2 linked regions of the Caenorhabditis elegans genome follow. The protein of the gene in region 1 interacts with the protein of each later gene in a pairwise test. Each region holds a gene or a part of one and is shown on either strand. Other genes may lie near its edges.

The links.
Region 2: the proteins of htp-3 (region 1) and htp-1 interact in a two-hybrid assay, tested with the Caenorhabditis elegans proteins (2 studies listed by BioGRID).

What each region holds. Positions count from the first base shown.
Region 1 is NC_003279.8:4,825,204-4,830,511, reverse strand, and holds htp-3 (HORMA domain-containing protein), read right to left. Parts: upstream 3,441-5,308; 5' UTR 3,434-3,440; coding exon 3,377-3,433; intron 3,327-3,376; coding exon 3,173-3,326; intron 3,124-3,172; coding exon 3,020-3,123; intron 2,976-3,019; coding exon 2,863-2,975; intron 2,818-2,862; coding exon 2,666-2,817; intron 2,617-2,665; coding exon 2,523-2,616; intron 2,476-2,522; coding exon 2,291-2,475; intron 2,247-2,290; coding exon 1,882-2,246; intron 1,832-1,881; coding exon 836-1,831; 3' UTR 716-835; downstream 1-715. Other genes in the region: F57C9.4 (C2H2-type domain-containing protein), read right to left, coding at 1-202, 256-372; tofu-4 (Twenty One u-rna (21U-RNA) biogenesis Fouled Up), read left to right, coding at 3,879-4,178, 4,224-4,397, 4,446-4,553, 4,598-4,830, 4,875-4,991, 5,037-5,308.
Region 2 is NC_003282.8:5,389,649-5,393,703, forward strand, and holds htp-1 (HORMA domain-containing protein), read right to left. Parts: upstream 1,910-4,055; coding exon 1,844-1,909; intron 1,798-1,843; coding exon 1,650-1,797; intron 1,604-1,649; coding exon 870-1,603; intron 822-869; coding exon 711-821; 3' UTR 541-710; downstream 1-540. Other genes in the region: ZK616.5 (uncharacterized protein), read left to right, coding at 2,524-2,597, 2,643-2,705, 2,751-2,829, 2,877-2,942, 2,993-3,133, 3,180-3,253, 3,298-3,394.

The sequences.
Region 1 (5,308 bases):
CTCTGTTAATCGGTTCAATAACCATTTGAAATGGATATTCATTTTCCGAATGTATTGTTTCAATCCGTGGTCCTAAAATCGATGGATCGCTTTTCCGTGCCGTGGAGATTTCTTTCAAAATTTCAATAAAACTGGAACACTCGTCAGAACTGATCGATGTATCTAGCAAAATTGTAGCATCGGAAGGAGACGTTATTCGAATCTGAAAATTAATTATTTTTATTTAAAAATCAATATATCTCCAATTAATCTCACTTTTTCAATACCCTCTTCATTATTGGTAACAGCTGATATGCGTAGAGAACATAGTCGACCGTTGAAAATGGAAAAATCACTCTCGTAGAGCACCCTCGAATCGATTAATGATGTCATTTATCCTGAAAAACGTTGATTTTTTTCAAAATGTGGCGAACTAAATAGAACCCAAAAAGAGAAATTCATTAAAAAAACACAATTCTTAAAAACTTTAGCTGGAATAAGAACAGAATGCCAAAGTGAAATCGATTAGAGTAAAGAGCGAACGGCCACTGAAAAAAGGGAAACAAGTGTATGTCACCGCGCTCCTTTGAGAAAGAAAACGGCGCTATGTTCAAAAAAGAACGCCAACGAAAGAATTCTGAAACGCTGGAAAATACTTGAATAGCTCTAAATATTTCATCACATGCAAGTAATATTTTGTATTTTAACAAATTCCCATCATCATCGGATATGAAAATTAATATTTAAAAAATTCATTCGAAAACTAAGGCATTTGTCCAACTATTAAAAAGGAAATCGAAGAAACAACAAAAAAATGGAACAGATTGATAATTGTACACGATTGTCCAGAAATCGTTCAGTTTCCTCTTCTACTTGGCATGTTCGGCGACTGGCCGTACCTCATTGCCTTTGGAGGGTTTGGTTTGAATTTCTTGGAAGTCGATTGGTTTTGAGTGGAGCTTTCGGTATCTTCCTGTGGATCTACGTCACTTAACGAACCAGCTACATCAAGAATACTCGAAACTCGGCCGTAGTGTCTCTCTGTGGCAATAGCTGGAGCGGCACCTGATGGATCTACGTCAGCGAACGAACCAGCTACATCGAGAATACTCGAAACTCGGCCGTAGTGTCTCTCCGCAGCAATAACTGAAGCTGCTCCTGCTGGTTGCTCCGTGACAACCGTTTGAGCTTCTTCAGACTGATGCTCCGTCACAATGATTGGAACGCTCTCCGATTGATGACCAGTAACATTAATTGGAGCTGCTTCTTCATGCTGCTCGGTGTCAATTGATAAGTCGGCAAGTCCCTCAACAGCAATTTCATTTTGAGCATCTTGAGCATCATTTTGAGCATCGTTCTCCTCAGCCCTTGCTACATCCAATATACTTGGTACACGACCGTAGATGGGACTTTCACGAACGTCTTCCTCCACTGTATCGTCAGTTGGCAGATCAGCGACGTCGAGAATACTCGACACTCGTCCATATTTTCTCTTCCGTGGTCTTTTATCCGGGATACTACCGTTCGCCAAATCTACCTGAGCCTCTTCCGAAACCGGATTTGCAACTGGGTCTGGTTTTTTCCTGTTAATAGAAGTATTTGAAACGCCATATCTTGCTGTTGAGCTCTCCTGCTTCTCAGATGTAGTATTATCTAGATCCGCAGCTTCCTCAGGTATTGCAGACTTTGATTCATTTCTCTTCTCGGGAGAGGTGATAATAGCATCAGAGTCAATTTGAAGAGAATTCTGAGCATCAGAGTCAATTTGAAGAGAATTCTGAGCATCATCATCATTTTGTTCTTCTGGCTGTTCATCGACTTCAACTGGAGGTACAAGCCGACGAGCACTTCTCTGTAAATTATTGAACTTAACATTTTTATTATAACAATAAAAATAATTACCCTTTTTGGGTTCACTATTGGTTCTTCTTCTTTCTGTTCGCATCGTTCATTGTTCTTCGTGGTGCGTTTACTGGAACGTCTCATCTGAGCTTTTGGCGCTTTTTGAGGTTGCTCTTTCACCGGGGACTCCACGGGAGAAGCCGGTTCCGTTGGAGTTATCGGGACAGCGGGAGCTCTCGTTGAACGTTTCTTTGCAGCTTTCACTATTGGAGAACGTTCCCTTTCAACAACCATTGGAACTTCATCATTATCAGCAATCAATACATTATATTCGGACTGCAGAACCATCATTTCACTGGCCATACTTGGATTACAACGAATTGATTCGTTTGCCACATCTTCGTCCATACGTACTTCTTGACGACCTATAAACATTAGAAAATTAATTTTTTTTCTCGACAAAACGCACCTGGTGAAAAATAGATTTCGTCAAGTTCAGGATTCTCAGCACAATTCATTGTGTTATCTCGAACAACTTCGATCGGTGTGATCGTTGAGTTGAGCAAATCATCTTCAAAATGAGAAACTTCCACTGGTGGACGAATGGCTGAAGGCTGTTCAACCATGAATTTCGAGGCATATGCGAATTGAAATCTGAATCAATTTAATTAAGAATTTGATGATTGAAATGACGAACAAACCCATTGCCGTGAGGAAAACTAACAGCACCAAGATTGATCTGCTCAGGATTCACAAAATCGTCGACTTGTTGAAATCCGGGAACGAATTCCGGTTCTAAAACAATAATTTATTTATGATTTAAATTAAATATTTTTAACCTTACCTCCTCTGTATGCTACTTTCATCGATGGAATGAGGCCTCTTGGTAGCGGACGGAGCAGGCTTAGAACATTTCTAAGCTCGCTGAACATCTTGCAAAACTGTTGAGCAGTATCATCCATGTTTAAATAATTCACCACAAATTTAGATTTACGCCTGGAAAAGAGTCAGTGAAATTTATATTTAGATAAATGATCTAACCCTCCGTATCCGATTTCGGCACTTGCAGATGTGGTTGAGTCATAGACAAAGGTCCAGACAAACGTTTCCACGGGATTCGTGTTTAGTGACTCTTCAACGACAATAGCGAGTTTCTGCAAACAATGAATTTTTACCACTTACGAGAGTAAAACTGTACCTGAAGGAGTTTCTGACGGATCGCGTCATGAGACGCCAAAAGCTTCGAAGACACACTCCGTCCTTCTGGAATGTCTTGTCGCAAAGTATATCCGCTGACATCTCCTATAAAATAATTCATGCTTAATTGCAAGTCAGATAGATAAAACCTCACCATAAACTTGAAAATCCTGGAAGTATTCCGCAGGAATAACTTTCCGTTCACGGAGAATTGTTGAGTTTGCAAGATAAACGCAGTTGGCCATCACTTCAAGAGAGCTTTTCGAATTTTCATCACCATTTTTCAATGTTTGCTCGTTGAATATAGCCTGAAAATTTTCGTTTTCTCGACAAAAAAAACTCTGTCAAATCTACTCACCCTGTCATCACTCGTCAGAGAGCCAGGGACAACAGAAGAGTCGAAGCTTTCGTCCATTTTGACACTTAAAATATTTTAAAACATTTTTTTTAATTAAAAACTAATTGAAAATGAGAAAAAACTGAAAAATAAATGAATAATTTGACATAAAATAACTAATTTCAACCGAAGTTTACCGTAACTCAGGTCAACATGTTGTGTTCTCGTGTCGAGACCCATGGAAGAAATGTCATGCACCTTTAAGTTTTTTCTTTTATATTTCAATTTTTTTCCGTTCATTTTCTACTTAAAATGCACTTTCAAGAGAATTTCTCATATTTTGAAGTTTTAAAATTGTAGTTTATTAAAATCTGAGCATATCTCTATGTATTTTGAGTCTAGAAACCGCTTTGAAATGTGCAAAGAACAGATGAAAGCACTTAAAATTTAAATAAACGTTTTTTACTTATTCATTTATTGTGTTTTTAAGCTTCTATATTTAATAATGAGACATTAATTTCAGATGAAACCGACGACGAGAAGCGCATCAAAAAGAGCAAATGCGGAATCTTCGGGAGTGAACCAGCCCGAGAAGAAATCACGAATTCCTGAAACAGAAATTGTAGAGGATCCGTTGGAGATCGAAGTACCGCCCGCATCGGCAGATGGCACTGACAACAAGAGTTTTTCAGAAAATGAATACGACGATGATCACAGTAGCAGCAGCGACGAGGAGAGTGATGATGAATACGTTGTGGAGACTCACAAGAGTTCGATGGTGGATGCTGCAGAAAGTTCCGAAGGCGAGCGACCGGATGAACGCGTATGCTGCCTTTTAAAAAATTTTTATCGATTTAACTTCTTTAAGATTGTCCGAGAATTAGAGCAGAAAATTGCTCGTGGGTTGAAGAACGACAGGATTCTCAAAAAGAAAAAGAAAGCGTTAGATGGGGAAGTCTCAGACACTGAAGACGTGGTTTGTGAGTACGAACCACAAGCGATGCCGAAGCAACGAAGAAGGCGACTGTATAGAAGAAAAATGGTGGGATTTTAATGCTAGTTGTTGAAATTTAGAAATGATTTCTTGCAGACCAGACCTCAAGGAGTCCCTAAAAGACGTCGCATCAAGAGACCGGACCTGGAACTTGCAGATGATTACACCTGTGACACTTTTGCTGAGCAAGGATTGACTCTGAAGGTGTGTAAGAATTTATAATTTAAATATTTGCAATAATTTTTCAGTCTTTGACAAGTGACATCAAACAAGACGATCCTGAAGTCGATTGGAAAGCAATGAGAAGGATGGGTATCGGAATCAGATCAACAAAAAGAGACGAAATCAATTCCGATGAGGATGAAGCGGATATTATTTCGCATTCATTTTCTTTCTACCAAACAAGAAACTCTAAAGAGCAAGTGGCACAGGCCGTCGAACTAAATATGAACCCTTTTTCGGAGAAGATCGCGAGCTACAAGTAATTGTTAAGAGAAATATCATGAATAAATATTATGTTTTCAGTGCTCCAAAGTCCGTTCATGGATACAGTCGATCTTCAATTCAAAATCAACATTCAGGATTTATTGACAAGAACGACATCAAATATCCGGACGAATTATTATGGCAGGAACCATTTACGTGAGTATTTTAAAACCATATATATTGATTAAGAATATTTTTCAGCCATCTCGTCTTCTTCCAATCCACATTCAATGCTCACGAGTCTTCCATCAAGTTCCTGAATAATGTCGCAAATTCAAAAAAGCAGGAAAGAGACTCCAAACTGATGAAGGAAATTCGCGAAAGGATTAAGCAGAAATCGCTCGGACATGTAGATGTTCCAATCGACTACACAAACGTGGAAAGTACATCGGAGCAGCCGTCGACTATTGATCAGTACAGCCTTCCTGACCTGACTAGTCAATGCGACGAGGGAACCATAAAGGAGGAAGAAG
Region 2 (4,055 bases), on another chromosome or scaffold:
ATAGGTCTCGCCACGATCCATTTTGTTGGCGACAGGCGCGACTGCTCTTTCTTAAATGAAAATTGAGATATTTGTTCGCTAGAATGTGATTTTTTAACAGAACATACAAATATATGGTTTTCGTGGCGAGACCAATTTAAAGTAGCACGCGCCTTTAAAACGACTACAATCAACCTGAATACTACATAAAATTGTTTCAGACACTGCAATAAAAAAGCTTTTTCTGATAAATTTTGTGACGTCTGACATTGAAAAGTAGAATAAACTGTGTTTTTTTTCAAAACTTGAAACCAACAATCAACAATCGCCACGTTCCCTTGCAAACCACATAAATTTTAGCAAAGAACCTTGAGAAAAGTTATCGAGGTCAGCATGAATGGTGAATACAAAGAGAATTTCGAGATTTACCGAAAGATACTCGGAGCGGTATCCAGCAGAAGAAGAAAAGAGAGAATCCTTTTTAGATTGGTCAATTGTTGAAAAATTCTGAAATGCACTGGAGTATCTTGAAAATGGAGTCATGGGAAACATGCTATTTAATAACACCAGTCGATTTATTTATGAATGACTGTAATTTGAATAAAAAAAACTAAGGATACAATAATGGAGCAGAAAGGAAACACTCAAGACAATAAAACATTTTACACGATGATATAGAACATGCCAAGTTACAGAATGAAGCTATAATCTATTGAAAGCTAGGAAAAAAATTATTTACAGGAACGAGAATATGGAGACGATCTGGTTTTGCTGCCATCGGCTCCTCTGCGAGTAGTTGGTCTCGTCTGGATAGGCGACATTTGTGCTTTCTCGAGAGACTCCTACAATTTTAAATTTTTTGTTTATATGTAAAAAACTAATAAACTAACAGTTATATCATCCACCGGAGAAGTCTCGTTTCCTCCTTGATCGTTGACAGATTCAGTAGTGGCCTGACTAAGACTTGTGTCACTGTCCTCCGAATTAAACGATTTATACAGCACATTCACTGGATTGAATCCATGCCTATCGGAAACTTTGTCCAGGTGTCGCTTGAGAGTCAACTCTGCTTCGTATGAATCGGACATCAACATGCTCCAGCATTCCATGTTTGCAGCGTGGCATCCTGGGCGCAAGTGACCAATGGTTGCCGATTGGATATCATCAGGAAGTGTGTAAAAAGTGGAAGAATCTTCGAAGCCATCAATGCGGAAATTGGATGGAGCATCGTTTGTGTACTCCAATCGAAAATTAGCCGTGAATTCTTCTGGCAACGGTTCGAGAACTTTTGTGCAGAGGAACTGAACACTGCGAACAATCGTCACCATTTGATCTCGTACGCTGTCGCCACCCTCGTATACAAGTTGAGCAAGCTTTGCGAAGTGAGGATCTTCCTGGCCATTCTTGTCAGTGCTCAGACGAGCAACCACGCCGCCATTCTCAAAATAAATGAACTTCATAGAGAAAACTTCGATGGCTTCAAGATCTCCTTCATTATTTGTGATCACGAGGGAGACTTCTTTCAGAAACCCATCCTTTGTTGCATCCCCAGCATTTCGAAGTAGTTGAGCGATTTGGTTAGACCGTGGGTTTCTGAAGCACAGCGTCATGCATTTCAGCTTTTCTGAAAAAGAACATTTACTATAAAATGTGATAAGAAAAACATTTACCAGTGATGTAATTCTTCGTGAAATATTCTTGTCCAAGAATGTTACGGTTCCTAAGAACAGCCGAAAACGCGACGTAGATTGCTCTGGTCATGAAATTGGATGATCGATCCGGGTCGCTGACAATCCTTGGGAAAAGTTTGGACCATTTCTAAAGATGAAAAAAATTACAATGGCCATAAAACCATGAAAAAAACCTTATCATCAATGGAATCCGCCGATTTGTTGAGCGATTCGTCGTAGATGGTTTCCAAGGGCGCCATCTGCAAAAAAACAGTCTCATTTTTAGGCAAGAGTTTGTAAATGTGAAATATAATATAATTCCTCGAGGAATACTATGCAAAGAAAGAAAAAACCCAATGACAAGCTTAAAATGATACACTAAAAAACGAAAAATTATTTTCGAAACTAGGAAACGATATTTGAATTTTAAAAAACACAGAAAATCGTCAATTTCGAAAGCCTAGGAAAGAATTTTAGGATTTCAAAAATGCAAATAAAATGCTAAATTAAAGGTACATCGGATTGGGTAAGTCCATTGGTCTCGCCACGCAATTACAAAAGCTCAAAACTATTCAAATAATTTTTGACTAAATGCAGCTTTTCCTTTTATTTTAAAGTAAATTTTTCATTCATTTCAAAACTGTCAACAAATTTGATTACTAGAGGTAATTTTAAAAAGTACTATTCTTTAAAAATACGCAAATGCAAGTGAAATTCGCTAACTCGTGGTGAGGCCTAAATTTAGTTTACTGACTGCTCCTTTGATTACTGTAACTTGTTTGCTATTTTTAAAACGGTCTGAATTCTCATTTTTGGACGAGTTTGCCTAAATTTTCTCCTTTCAAGCTCAAAAAACGTTTATCATTGTTTTCAGATGCCAAACTATCGAGGACGTCATCAAACGAGACAGAATTGGAGTTCTAAGCCAAGAGAAGAGCACTCCCCGAGGTATTTGAATAAAAAATGTCATTTTTTCGAGTACTTTCTTTTCAGCAAAGGCGCATACAGGGACAAAATCTGGAGCGGTCCAGTCAGTGAGGTCGCCAGGCAACAAACGTATGAAACTAATTTTTAAATGTTCCTAATTTACTTATTCTTCAGGGTGTACGACTGGGTGACTACAGGTGCTTATTCCCTTGGATCGCCAGACTCGTGGCCATCTTATCCGGACGAAATCATAGTGAGTGCTGTAGTACACCGAAAAAAAGTTAATTTTTCTTGTTTTAGCTGATGAACGAGTCCCGAAATGCTCAGACATCCCGCATGTCGCGTCGGTCGGCTACTCCCGGTCCAGTGAGTTTATTTTCTTCATATTTTCGTTATGAGACAAACCTTGGTTTCAGAGATTGTCACAAGATAGAAGGACAAGAACTACAGCACCCGCCGTTGCGCCGATTCCGTTTCAGAGGGCACAGCCTCGAGTAGAAGTGGAGAGACAAAGAATCGACGAGCCTGTCGCACAGGACCTGATTATCGATGATGGGGTACCAGAAAGTTTCATTGAACATTAGCTGTAATGTATTTTTGTAGAACGGTACCAACAATTCGAACGATTCGAGTATTTGTGGCTTTGTGGAGGAATCCGAGGAACTCGTATATCCACAGTGAGTATCTAAATCAATTAATTAACTGAAATTTATCATTCCAGGTGGGTTTACTATCTGTACCCATTGATTCCTACCGCGCCTAACTGCAACAACGAGAAGTCGTACAAAGAAGGTGGCAATTGGTACAACTCTCCATGAATGATCTCCCTCTCCAGCTTCTCTCAATCTGTCATATTTCTTATGCCTGAGTTGCTCCTCATTTTAAGAATGTATCATTCTCATATTATCTGTCATATTCTCACTCCCATCATGCCCGTAATCAAACCCCCGTCATTCATTTTTCTCTGTACCGGTTAAGAAGTTCTAACATTGTATTTTCCATGATTCTAAGTCAGGAGCTTTTTCCCCATTATTAATCCATAATACGATCGAAGGTTATTTACCATCGATGATTGGAAGGTTGAATTAATTTCACATTGTTTTCTATGAAACGTTCATCCGATCCTCATTGACCATTCGATCCTTTGTTATATTTTCCCATTTTTACTGTACCCATCACCTCATACGCATCCTTTTAGGCTAGAAGTCTGCATTAGCAGAATAACTTTTGAGCTTTCACCGAATGTCTGTCCCATGTCTGCTCTCTCTTTTCCTTTTTGTTTTTGTTTTCCTCTGGTCAATGTTTCAATTCCTTCTGGTTTTTTTGAATCACAATAAACATTCTCCAGAAAATTGTCTCGATTCTCACTTGTTGTGTTGAAAAATATTCACGGAAATCGTTCGGGCAGTAGGTTAGAATGCGGAATTCAAAATCCTGGAATAAAAAATAGTTATGAATCTGTTACATGTGATCTTTGTT